3 linked regions of the Macaca fascicularis genome follow. The protein of the gene in region 2 interacts with the protein of the main gene of each other region in a pairwise test. Links are inferred from orthologs where the notes say so. Each region holds a gene or a part of one and is shown on either strand. Other genes may lie near its edges.

Evidence for each region.
Region 1: the proteins of SIRPA (region 2) and NOL3 interact in a two-hybrid assay, tested with the Homo sapiens proteins (2 studies listed by BioGRID and IntAct). The two-hybrid records come from large-scale screens. The link is inferred for Macaca fascicularis from reciprocal best matches to the Homo sapiens genes SIRPA and NOL3.
Region 3: the proteins of SIRPA (region 2) and CCDC57 interact in a two-hybrid assay, tested with the Homo sapiens proteins (2 studies listed by BioGRID). The two-hybrid records come from large-scale screens. The link is inferred for Macaca fascicularis from reciprocal best matches to the Homo sapiens genes SIRPA and CCDC57.

Annotation. Positions count from the first base shown.
Region 1 is NC_088394.1:63,189,947-63,194,520, reverse strand, and holds the start of NOL3 (nucleolar protein 3), read right to left. Parts: upstream 2,834-4,574; 5' UTR 2,735-2,833; coding exon 2,716-2,734; exon of another isoform or gene 2,687-2,715; intron 2,377-2,686; exon of another isoform or gene 2,161-2,376; intron 1-2,160. Other genes in the region: HSF4 (heat shock factor protein 4), read right to left, coding at 3,129-3,283, 3,568-3,637, 3,815-3,880, 3,980-4,085.
Region 2 is NC_088384.1:85,387,983-85,391,756, forward strand, and holds part of SIRPA (tyrosine-protein phosphatase non-receptor type substrate 1), read right to left. Parts: intron 3,477-3,774; coding exon 3,123-3,476; intron 1-3,122. UniProt on the Homo sapiens protein: Immunoglobulin-like cell surface receptor for CD47. Acts as docking protein and induces translocation of PTPN6, PTPN11 and other binding partners from the cytosol to the plasma membrane.
Region 3 is NC_088390.1:88,640,449-88,644,891, forward strand, and holds the start of CCDC57 (coiled-coil domain-containing protein 57), read right to left. Parts: upstream 2,806-4,443; 5' UTR 2,761-2,805; intron 1-2,760. UniProt on the Homo sapiens protein: Pleiotropic regulator of centriole duplication, mitosis, and ciliogenesis. Critical interface between centrosome and microtubule-mediated cellular processes. Centriole duplication protein required for recruitment of CEP63, CEP152, and PLK4 to the centrosome.

The sequences.
Region 1 (4,574 bases), on a different chromosome or scaffold from region 2:
TTGTATTTATTCTTTTATTTTTTTTAGTAGACACGGGGTTTCACTATGTTGGCCAGGCTGGTCTCAAACTCCTGACTTCGTGATCCACCTGCCTCGGGTTCCCAAAGTGCTGGGATTACAGGCGTGAGCCACCTGCCGGGCCTGGTCTTGCTATATTGACCAGGCTGGTCTCGAACTGCTGGCCTTGAGCGATCCTCCCATCTCAGCCTCCCAAAGTGCTGGGATTACTCTTGAGAGACTATCTCTACCAACAGCAGCTATTAGGGAGAATTAATTTGCTTTATCCTTTTTTTTTTTTTTTTTTTTTGAGACAGAGTCTCACTCTGTTGCCCAGGCTGGAGTGCAGTGGCACATTCTCTCCTCACTGCAACCTCCGCCTCTTGGGTTCAAGTGATTCTCCTACCTCAACCTCCCAAGTAGCTGAGACTACAGGCGCCTGCCACCACGCTCAGCTAATTTTTTGTGTTTTTAGTAGAGATGGTGTTGGTGTTTCACAATGTTGGCTAGGCTGGTCTCGAACACCTGACCTTGTGATCCACCCACTTTGGCCTGCCAAAGTGTTGGGATTACAGACATGAGCCACCGCACTCAGTTGCTTTGTCCATTTATTGCCAACCAAGGATTATGGCCCATTCCTATGAGTGACTTTACCCAGCCAGCAAGACCCCCGGCATTAGGAGGCAAAGACATCAGGTCTTGGACCATGCCCTCAGCCCACCCCCACCCCGATAAAACCTCCCTTCCTCCCTGCCTTGGCTTTGTTCACAAGGCATCCTCCCATCTCTTCTTCCTTTTGCTGTCCCTCCTCCGCCTCCTTCCCTGGCTCTAGGAGGCTGGACCTTCTCTGGGAGAGAGGATTTGGTCCTAGCTGCCATCCTGCCTCCCAGGTCTCTCTCAGTACCCTCTGGTGTCATGCTATACCTCCCCCGTCACACCCTGGCTCCCTCCCATTGAAGCCCTTCCCCCGGGCCACCAAGCTGAGACCAGGACTACCCCCTGCCCTTCCATCTCCCTTTATGTCCCATCTGTGATGAGTATTGCTTCCCTTCTCAGTGAGTCTCCATCAGCTCCTGCCTTGCCACCCCACCATCGTCACCTCATGTCCTGTAACAGTTCCTCTGAGCCCCTCTCACTCCCATTCCACTAGGCCCTATAGCACAGTGATTTTGACAACTCTCTGGGCTAGGATTGCTGTTCCTGTTTTACAGATGAGGAAAGAGACAGGCTCAGAGATTCAGTGGTAAAACTGGAATCTTACTTGCTCCAGCCTGAACTATGAGGAACTTAACTATATTTTCCTGTCTAGCAGAATTCCATCCTAAATACCTATCTACCTCCCCCCGCCAACCCCACTGCCCATCTGAGAGAACCAAAAGTATCTGGTCTGGCTACTCTAGCCTCCTCCCACCACTCTGGACAGCCAGGCCCTTCCCAGCTTCCCTCCACGAGTCAGGGCTGGGAGAACTCACTATGCCTCTGGCACCTCGGAGCCTTTGCTGATGCTGATCGCTAAGACTGGAATCCTTTCCCCCTCCCTCCTCTTCATGAACCTATCCATCCTCCGGGACTCAAATGTTCCCTTGTCTACACCAATGTCTAAGTGTCCCAAGGGCAGGTGGTTCCTTCTTCTGTGTACCCAGTGAACAACATATGTCCTCACCACCGCATTAACTGACATCACTGCACTGTGTACGTGCAGATTATCTGCTTTCTTCAACTGAGGCTTCCTAAGAGTGTCCCTCCAATTGGTGGGCATAGGAAGGGAGAGGGGGACAGCACCTACTTGGGACAGACACAGGGAGGGTGCAGATTGGATTGCCCCCTCCTTCTCTCCAGCCTACGTTGTTTTCATGTTAGCCTCCTCCTCCTATGACCCCAAGTCCTGCCCTTTATCCTGTCTAGGGGTAGTGACTCCAGCTGGTCTGGGCCCTCCCTTTGAGGCTCTCAGAGCTCTCAATACCGAAGTTATTTAGCGGCCAGTCCTTCGAGGGTGACAGGTCCGATGCTTCCCAGAGAGCCACGTGGCGGGGTGTGGAGCTGGGCCCTAGCCCCCAACCCCAACTAGCAGCGCGGGCTCTTTGGCGGGGAAGCCAGGGTCTTGGGTCACTGAAGAGCCTTTGCGCATGTGCGGCCGCACGGATTCCCCGCCCCACGCCTTACCTCCCAGAGCTCACCCAGTCCCAGAGCTTGAGAGTCCTGCGGCAGGGCGGGGTCCACAGACCTCACCCCGAGGGCCGCAGCGGGTGACGGGGCGCTGATTTTGCCCAATCTCGGTTTCCCGTCCCTCCCACAGCCGGGAGTGGGGCTCCAGGTCTGGCCCGTTTTGGGCGGCCCCACTCACGGGTCGAGCCTCGGCGGGGCAGGAGATGACGGTGCAGAAAGGCCCGGGCAGGGTGGGGGTGGGTGCAGCAGCTGCGGCGGGGGCGGGGCGGCCAGGGCTGCTGGGAATAGGGAGGGTGAGGGCTTCTTCCCCGGGCACTGGGAGCCACGCCGCGGAAGCCGCGCGCGGGCTGGGGACGTGCACGTAGTCAGCTTTCCCTTCCCACCCGGGGCGCACCAGGAGATGAGGCCGGGAGGGGGCAGTTCGGCCCGCGGCCCCACACGTCCAGTGCCCACTCAGGGCCTGCCAATTTCCAGGTGCTTTCCATCTATCTTGTCATCGACCCCTCTTCTCTGCCTGTCACAGACGAAGTTCACAGAAGGGTACCAACTCACCCAGGATCACAGAACGCATGCATTGCAGAGCTGAGTGCGACTCAGAAGCCCCCGCTTCCCAGAGATTGCAGCGGCGCCGCGCCAGCCCTGGATCCGGGCCTAAGCAAGGGAGCTAGACACCGGATCCCCAAGCACCTCCACCCTCCTGGGGTTCCTCTATTAAAGACCTAGTATCTGGACGCTTCTACAGTGCAAAATCACCCCCCACCCACAACTCCTGTGCTGCCTGGTCGATAGAGAAAAGAGACGCGAAACAGAAAAAAAAATGGAGTTTATGTGCAGGGTTCGTCGGGGTAGTGGAGAGAGGCCGTTGAATAGTAGGGGCTTCGCTCACTCCCGCCAGGGGGCGCCAGGAAGCCAAGAAGGATGTGCAGCCGCGGACTGGTTCCAAGCCCCTTCAGAGGCGCGGGGTCTCAGGGGGAGGGACTGGCTTCAGAGCCCAAGTAGGAGGCGGTCCGGCTCTCAGGAGTGCTGTAAATGGTTAAAGCCCCAGGCAGGCCCAGGGCTGGGCCTCCCAAGGCTGCCTGGACATCCAGCAGGAGTGGGGCCCCGAGCGTGGGGTCCTTCCCTAGGAGAAGCGGGGCTGTGCTCACCAGGGGAAAGGTTCCCCCTCCTTTCTTCAGGGAAGGAGAGCCCTCCCTGCCTGCCTTCTGCTCAGTTAGGATGAAGCATCCATTCTTAAACTCCCCACTCTCGCCCAATGGTGAGGGCACGGGTGGCTCAATGAACGCGCTCTGCAGGGCAGCCTGAACTCAGGATTTCCCTGCAAATTGCAGATTGCCCCCTCACTCAATCAAGGTAGCTCAGCCCAATCACGGCGTCCTCCCAGGTATGAGTCATCACAACCATTACCTGGGCTTGGAGAATTTAACCCCTTGACCGCCAGCTCAGGCTCACCCGGCTCTGGAACCAAGGGCTGCATCTGTGTGAGAACCGCAGGGAGCAGCTGGGGAGGGGACCTAGCAGCTGAGGGGAACAGCTGGGAAATCACTGCGGCAATTCTCCTAGAGACATGGCTCTGGCTCACAGAGAACAGCTATGGACCAGAGGGCTTGGCTCAGCCACCCCTGGCCTCTGCCCTCCCGGATCCACTTCTTACCAAGGACAGCTCCATGTCCAAGTCCATCAGGGTCCATTCTCGCCCTTGGAGACTGGGGCCCAGCACCTGAGGAGAGCTCTGGGTCAGTGGTGCCCTCTCCAGGCTCCACAGAGAGCTAGACCCCACCAGGTCTCATGCCCCTGTTTCAGCAGAAGGGGTACTCACATCTAGAGGCCCTGCAGACTCCACACTTTCTTGAGGGGGCTGAAGCAGCATCGGAGGCAGCAGACTCTCTGGGCTCCTGTCCCCGCTCTCCAGGCCCAGAGGCCCCCTGTGCAGAGAGAACTGCTTTTGAGAGAACTGCTTTTGGCCTGCAGTGTACGCCCTCCATTAAGTTCCCAAGGAACCCAGATGCATCAAGATTTAAATCCCCCAACATTTAGAAAATGATACGAGAGGACCCCCATCCTTTTTCTACCCCCAACCTCCCCACCCCTGCCATAAAGGGGCACAGAGAAAGTGCCTCTGCTTCCTACCTGGGACCTGGAGTTTGGGTGGTGGAGCTGGGGCTTTGGGACCCCTCCCCTCCCTATGTAAATGTCAATATCAATGCTTCTTTCTTTTCTTTTCTTTTCTCTCTGTCTCGCTCTTTCTTCTTTCTTTCCTTCTTTCTCTTTCTTTTCCTTTTTTTCTTTTTTTTTGAGACAGAGTTTGACTATGTCACACAGGCTGGAGTGCAGTGGCACCATCTGGGCTCACTGCAGCCTTCACCTCCCAAGTTCAAGTGACTCTCCTGCCTCAGCCTCCTGAGTAGCTGGGA
Region 2 (3,774 bases):
GAAACTTCATCCCATAAAAAATAAAATAACACCTTGATTTGGGGGTGTCTACTCTGCACTGGGTGATTTATACACAGGAACTCAAATCCTTTCCATTCTCCCAAAGGAGTCCCTGATTATCACCAAGGGCAGCAGGGCCAGATCCTCATCCTGGCACTCTCTCCTTTTATAACAAGTACTATGAAGGAAGAGCCATTTCTTGACCCTTTTACAGATAAGGACTCTGAGGCTCAGAGAGGATACCTGTGTGGTGAGCAAGTGGGGGAGCCAAGGTTTGATCCCCACCAGCCTGACTCACAGCCCCTGTCTCTGTAATACTCAGTTATGCTTGTCAAAGTGTGGAGAAATGCTCCACTCTTCTCATTCCGAACTCTTGCAGTTCTATAGCAATAAGCATAGGCTGAGGCAGGAGAATTGCTCGAACCAGGAGATGCAGATTACAGTGAGCCGAGATCGCGCCACTGCACTCCAGTCTGATTCTACAGATGAGGAAAACGAGGCTGAGAAAAGCAAAGGCACTGTCTCCTCATCCTCCAAGTACCCAATGGGCATTTCCAGCGTTCCCCAAGCTCTCGTGTCTATCAGTTGAGCAAGTGCCTGAACTTCATGAACCCTGACACTGACCACCACCTTCCCTTTTTCTCTTTGAGATCCTTGACTTCATGCAATTCTAGGGAGAAGCCTCCTGCCAGGGCACCCAGATCTGGTTACCCTATAGCCATAAACTGAAGTCAGTGGGCTCCTGACAGCCTGAGGGGAGAATATAAACTCTTGCTCCAGTGAGCCCCAAGAACCCACCAGGAAATGACTCATCTCCTTATCCTTAGTCCTCAGCACCATGAGTAGATGAGCATGTGGTCTGCCGGGCTGCAGGAGGCCCAACTCTGCTCCATGGATGCTGCTCAGTGATGTGCAGAGACCTGTCCTTCAGGAACAGGTTCCCATATCATGAGACATCTGCAGGACCTTTCTGATGGGGGCCAGTCCCTCCTACTCCCATAGGATTTGTTGTTTTGTTTTTTCTTTCTTTTTTTGAGACAGAATCTTGCTCTGTCATCCAGGCTGGAGTACAGTGGCACAATCTCAGCTCACTGTAATCTCCACCTCCTGGGTTCAAGCAATTCTCCTGCCTCAGCCTATGCTTATTGCTATAGAACTGCAAGAGTTCGGAATGAGAAGGGTGGAGCATTTCTCCACACTTTGACAAGCACAGCTGAGTGTTACAGAGACAGGGGCTGTGAGTCAGGCTGGTGGGGACCAAACTTTGGCTCCCCTACTTGCTCACCACACAGGTCTCCTCTCTGAGCCTCAGAGTCCCTATCTGTAAAAGGGGCAAGAAATGGCTTTTCCTTCATAGTACTTGTTATAAAAGGAGAAAGTGCCAGGATGAGGATCTGGCCCAGTTGCTGCTCCATGGCCTCCTCCCACCTCCCTCCTTTCTCATCCAGGGCATCATTTAGGCTGACAACATGGCAAAGAGGAGTGAGCACTCTACTAGGAGTCAGCAGATGTGGGTCACACCTAGGCCACTTACTTGCTGTGACTGTCTAGGCACGGGATGCATCATCTGGGAACTTCAATGTCTCTTCCTGTAATATCTGCACAATCAGGATAAAGCCATCCTCCCTGCCTATGTCCAGGGGTTGTGGGGAGACTTGATTGTTATAATGTCGAGGAGGGAAATTAGGCCATCTCCACACACATTAAAACACACACCCCCTCTGATCCAGCAATGGCACTTCCAGTGGGCGTCTCCCACCTGAGTAAGGTCACACATGTATAAGGTCATCCACTGCAGAACTGTTTTAATAGCTCAAGGTTGGGGACAACTTACGTATCCATCAATGGAAGACTGCAAAATAAATCTGACATTTCCATAAGCTGGAGTATTCTGTAGCTATTACACAATGCAGCAGGTCTCCATCCTGATATGAAATCTCATCGAACGCTAAGGCTTACATTTGGGAGAGGTTTTCCAATCACCAATGGGTGTAACGGTCTGAATGTGAGTATTCTGAACCTTTAGGAAACTGATGAAAAGGAGAAGTGCTGGCTCCCTGCTTAGCGGTTCTGTTCAAGGAGCTTTCAGTCAGCACCTGTGATGCACCAGGCTCTTCTGTGGAAACAATGTCTAACATGGGCAGGAACGAGCCTTCCCGGAATCAGATGTGGGCTCTAGTCCAGATCCTGTCACCAACTGGTCCTGTGACTGTGGGCAAGGCCCCTGTCATCTCCTGACTTCAAGTTTCCACCTGTAACTGGGGGTTGGGCTGCATGGTCTGAGGGTCCTTCCTGCACTAATGTCCCAGGATCCGGAGTTAGAACGAGGATTCTGGTGCTCTGGCAGTAAATACAAAATGAACATCTTTGCTGCCTTAACTGAGGAACCCAAAGTCACCTAGAAGGGAGACCTCCTCCCTGGGGTGAGGGACATTCTATGATGACCCAGCTTTGTTCAGAGCCTTTAGTGACTGCATGAATCAGTCCCTAAACGATACAAGGGTTTTTCTAAAAGACCCACAGAAAATGCCCAAACCTCTGGCTTCTCCTCTTCACCAGGGCATTCAGATCAAACAGTAAATCTGTGCCTTTTAGGAATCTTCTTAGTTGATGTTTGGTGATGAAATAAAGGAAAGCACACCCCCGCTGCTCCCTGCCCTGGGTGGATTCTTATTGGAAGGGATGAGAACACAAGCTTGGTGGAGCCTGGCACACAGTAGGTTCTCAGGGAGTGCCTGTCGCATAGAGGAGACTCGGCCACACTGAGGGGGAAGTGCTCTCTGGAGGCAGCAGGTGAGCTCTGGCCCTGTGCCTGGGCAAGTCACTCTGTCAGTTCCCTCATCTGTGGAACCAAAGGGCTGGGCCCGATTTGAAGAGGCCAGGGCTACAGAGCCAGGCAGATGAAGGATGCAGATGTTCCCACCCTTTACCAGCCGTGGAGCCTTGAGCAAATAGCATGACATCTCCAGGCCTCAACTTCCCTTATCTGTAAAAGGGGGAGACATTAATTCATGAAAAGGAGCACCCACCACCACACCTGATTGTTGCTCTAAGAATGGAGGGTGTTATTATTGAGTTATTGTCACACACCAGGGGACGAAGGAGGCCCGCACTGTACTCACCACGCACAGACAGCTCAGTGCCTGCTCCAGACTTCACCTCCACGTCGGGGCTCCCTTTCCGGAACTTCACACAGTAGTAGGTGCCGGCATCTGCTGGGGTGATGTTACTGATGTGGATGGAAAAGTCCATGTTGTTTCTCTTTGTGGACTCTGAAACAGATGTTACCCGGGGAAAGTGGCCTTCCTTTTGATGGTAGATCAATTCCCGGCCTGGTCCAGCTCCTCTGAACCACTGGATGGGCCCCACAGGGATCAGGGAGGTCACAGTGCAGTTCAGAGTGGCCGAGTCTCCAGCTGCGACGGACACGGACTTCTCAGGCTGAATCACCTGCAACTCCTCCTCACCCAACACTCCTGGAAAGGAGCACAAAGCCGTCATTTTTTTTTTCCATCCTTACATGATCCTCTGTGTTGCCTCAAGTGTTTATCAATGACTTTCATCGACAGGGTGCACACCAGGAGCAGGCTGTGAGGTCAGTATACTGCGTGTATTATCTCATTTAACCCTCACAACAAACCTGCAACATGAGCCTATATTCTAAGTGGGGACACTGAGGCACAGAAAGCTAAGTGACATGGCAGAGAGTGGGTTTGAATGCTTGGAACCTCTCTGGAAGAGTCACATCTGAGCTGGGCTCTCTAATTCTAATCT
Region 3 (4,443 bases), on a different chromosome or scaffold from region 2:
ATGATAGCAATGGGTTAGAATCCATGGGATAAAAAGATGTACTAATACCAAGACGTCACCCCTGCACTCCAGCCTGGGTGACAAAGTGAGACTCGTACTAACACCAAGACCCCACCCCTGCACTCCACAGCCTGGGCGACAGAGTGAGACTTGTACTAACACCGAGACCTCACCCCTGCACACCAGCCTGGATGGCAGAGTGAGACGCCATCTCAAAAAAAAAAAAAAAGATATAGTAATGAAAATTAATAGAAAATTGATGAGAAGAGATGGTTCTTTCTTACAGGAGAATCCCAACTAATAAATGTAGGAGTAACGGAAACAGAAAAATCATTTAACAAATAGCACATTAATAGTTATTTTGGGGAAACACTCATGGGTGCTAAAATTAGTGACAGAAGTATATGGTTAGAAACAAGATCTTGCTGGGCGTTGTGGCTCAGGCCTGTAATCCCAACACTTTGGGAGGCCGAGGCAGGCGGATCACTTGGGGTCAGCAGTTCAAGACCAGCCTGACCAACATGGTGAAACCCCGTCTCTACTAAAAATACAAAAAAAATAAAAATAAAAATAAAAATTAGCTGGGCATGGTGGCAGGTGCTGGTAATCCCAGCTGCTCAGGAGGCTGAGGCAGTAGAATCGCTTGAACCCGGGAGACAGAGGTTGCAGTGAGCCAAGATCAAGCCACTGCACTCCAGCTTGGGTGAGAGAAAGAGACTCAAGTCTCAAAAAAAAAAAAAAAAAAAAAAAGGCTGGACGTGGCGGCTCACACCTGTAATCCCAGCACTTTGGGAGGCCAAGGTGGTGGATCACCTGAGGTCAGAAGTTTGAGACTGGCCTGGCCAACATGGTGAAACCTCGTCTCTACTAAAAATACACAGATTAGCTGGGAGTGGTCGTGGGCAGCTGTAATCCCAGCTACTTGGGAGGCTGAGGCAAGAGAATCACTTCAACCCAGGAGGTGGAGGTTGCAGTGGGCAAAGATTGTGCCACCAAACTCCAGCCTGGGCAGTGAAGAGAGACTCCATCTTAAAAAAAAAAAAAAAGAAAAGAAAAAGAAAAAAGAAAGAAGATTTTTTACATAGTGGCAAAATATTTCCCCATAAAATATGCATTATTTACAAAGGGAAGGACCCCAACTTTGTGGACACACTTGGCAGGCACCACCTCAGCCCCCGGGCCCCGATGAGCACCAACAGCCAGGGGCATCCTGTGGCTCATAAGACACTGGGAAGGACACAATTTCCCTGTTGAAGTTTTCTGGCCAAAAATGAGTAATATGAAATCAATTACGAGAAAACATCAGAGAAATCCAAAATGGGGGGCATTTTATAAAATAGTGGACTTATCACTGGATCCTGGACCACGGTACAGTCATCCTTGAAGCAGCTGCTAAACGAGAATAAATACTGGAGACCAGATCACGGGATTATATTAACATGAACGCCAGCGTCTCCATGTTGCTGAATGAACTGTGGTTCTGTAAGAGATCAGCATTCTAGGGGCTGTGGGTAAAGAGTACACGGGAAATCTTTGTGCTGCTTTTGTATCTTTTTCTAAGTTACAGATAATTTTTTTTTTTTTTTTTTGAGATGGAGTTTCACTCTTGTCTCCCAGACTGGAGTGCAACGGCGCGATCTCGGATCACCGCAACCTCTGCCTCGCGGTGTAATACCCTACCTTGTTTTAACCTGATTGATTCTCTCTTAGCTGAGAGCTGGACAGACTCCATGTTGGTTTCTTTGCTTGCAGCCTCTTATTCCCCTCCCTTAAGGACATACCTGGTGCAAGCCGACCCCAAGCACATCCAGGAATGCACTTACTGATAAGAAACTGGAGCAAGCTGTACCAGCAGCTCCTGGGAACGCGCTCTGTTGATGGTACCCAAAGCCCCTGCGTTTATCACTTTGTGGTAATTGAAGCCCCTGCACCTGAAACTGTTTTTTGTTTTTTCCTGTAACTGTTTCTGTAACCATTTCTAACTTTTTTGCCTGTTCTGCTTCTGTAAAAAAAAAAAAAAAAAAAAAAAAATAGCTTCAGCTAGACTCCCCGTCCCCTATTTAGACCAAGGTTTAAAAAGAAATCTAGCCCCTTCTTCGGGCGGAGATAATTTCGAGCTCTAGCCGTCTCTCGGTCGCCGCCGGCAATAAAGAACGCCTGAATTAGTCTCAGAGTGTGGCGTTCTCTCTATAACTCGCTCGGTTACAACATCGGGTTCAAGCGATTCTCCTGCTTCAGCCTCCCGAGTAGCTGGGACAACAGGCGCCCACCACCACGCCCAGTAATTTTTGCATTTTTAGTAGAGACGGGGTTTCACCATGTTGGCCAGGCGGGTCTCGAACTCCTGGCCTCAAGCGATCTACCCGCCTCGGCCTCCCAAAGTGCTGGGATTACAGGCGTGAGCCACCGCGCCCGGCCTTTCTTTTCTTTTTCTTTTTTTTAAACTCAGACACAGCAAGGCTGCCTGGGCGCGGAGCCGTCCTTGGCGGCGGCGGAACCCGGAGAACTCTCCCGGGGTTGCGGGGCCCTGGTCGGCAGCGCCCACCGCCCCAGGTCATCCAAGGGCGACCGAGGAAACACTCCCGCCCCGCCCCGCCGCAGCCTCCGCGAGCGGGTCCCCGGTCCGGGCCCGGCCGGGCTCTGAGGGTCGACCTCGCGCTCCAGGTCCTCGTCTGACAGGACGGCAAGTCCCGAGGTTTTCCACAGGAAGAGGGGTCGGAGCGGCTCCCACGCCGCCCACGCCGCCCGCCCGCGCCTCACCTGAACGGCCGCCAGCAGCGCTGCCGGGTCCCCCCGCGTTGCCACAGCGACCGGGTCAGTCGGCCGCGTCCGGCTGCGCTCGGTGCAGCGCTCGGGTCCCGCCGGCAGGAAACGGGGTCCCTGGCGCTGGGTTCCGGCCGCTCCCGCCGCGCCGGGTTCCGCGCTGCGCCCAGGCCCGAGAGACGCCCCGGGCCGAGCCGACCGCCGCCGCGGATCGAGGGAGGGAGCCCGGCCTCCTCACCGGTCAGCGGGGCGACTCCGGACTGGGTTCCGGGCTATGGGGACGGCGGGCTCCGCCGCGCGAGGCGCCCCCACCCTCGCCGCCCCCGGCCCTGCCGAGGGTCCCCAGGCGCCCGCTCCCTGAGGCCGCCCGGCTCGCGGTCCCGAAGGGGTGTCTTGAGCGTTTGCCCTGAGATGAGGGGAGCGCGGGGGCGGGGGCGGCCGAGGCTGCCCGTGGGAGTCTGTACGGGCCGGGGCGCCACCGAGTCCTGCCTGAGGGTCGGCTGCGGCCACCGGGGCACGAGTTCCCGGCGCCGCCCACGGGCTCGGAGACTGGCGGGGCCCGGGCCGTGCGCGCAGCCGCTCAGATCCTGGTTAGGGAACTGGGGGAAAGGACGGGGCCCGGAGGCGCCCCCACCATCCTGTGGGAACAACATCCTCAGGGCCAGCCATTCCCCACCATTCACATCCTCCGAAAATGGCACCTGTTCTTATCCATCTGCGGATCAATGAACGGAGCCCGGCCCCGGGACAGAGCAGCCTGGTCCACCCGAACCCTCAGCCCGCACTTCTGCGTGGGAGTGGAGGGGGTGTCTGGTGTCTGGGAATTCCCCTGGTGGGGCAATAAACCAGGGGTCTGGTGTCATCCCCCACCCACATTGTTACACTGGGTCACTCCAATCCCTGCCGTGCCTGCAGCCCAGACACCCTACAGCCCGTCCTCCTGGACCCACGCGTCCCGGTGGGGCTGCCCCTCACCCACTGCCCTCAGTCCCGTCTCACACACCAAACCCTCTTCTGCCTCGGGGCCTTTGCACCAGTTGCCTCTGCCTAGACCTGGTTCCCTGGATGCTCCCTCCCCACCCCACGTGTGTGTCCGGCTCCCTGGATCCACCCCCCACCCTGTGTGTCTAGCCCCCTGGACCCACCCCACATGCTGTGTATCTAGCCCCCTGGAATCCCCTCCCCACTCCCTGTGTCTAGGTCCCTGGACCCCCACCTGCCCCATGTGTCCAACTCCCATGACTCCCCCCACCGTGTATCCGGCTCCCTGGGTTCCCCTGCCACCCCATATGTTTGGCTCCTTGTCCTCCTGCTGCCTTCTCAGTGCCTGTACACCCCCAGCCTCTTCAGACTTGTCACTCTATTAGAACAGGATGTAGGGCCTGGACCGTTGGCTCCCTGCTACCCCCACCCACAGGGCAGTGCTGGGGTTGACCTGGCCTTGGCTGCACATTTGGCCCCTGGATCAGCTCTAGGACTAGATGTACCCAAAAGGATGCCCATATCCCTGCCTCAGCTCCTGCCTCTGTGCACCCAGAGAGCTGCCTTGCCCCCATGTCCATGATGCAGCCACCAGGCCTGGGTAAGTGTGGGTGTCAGAGATGGGCTGGGCCACCCAGAAGAGGAACCGGCACTTGCTGGGTCTGTATCCTGGCTCCGCGTGCCTCAGTGTCCCTGCCT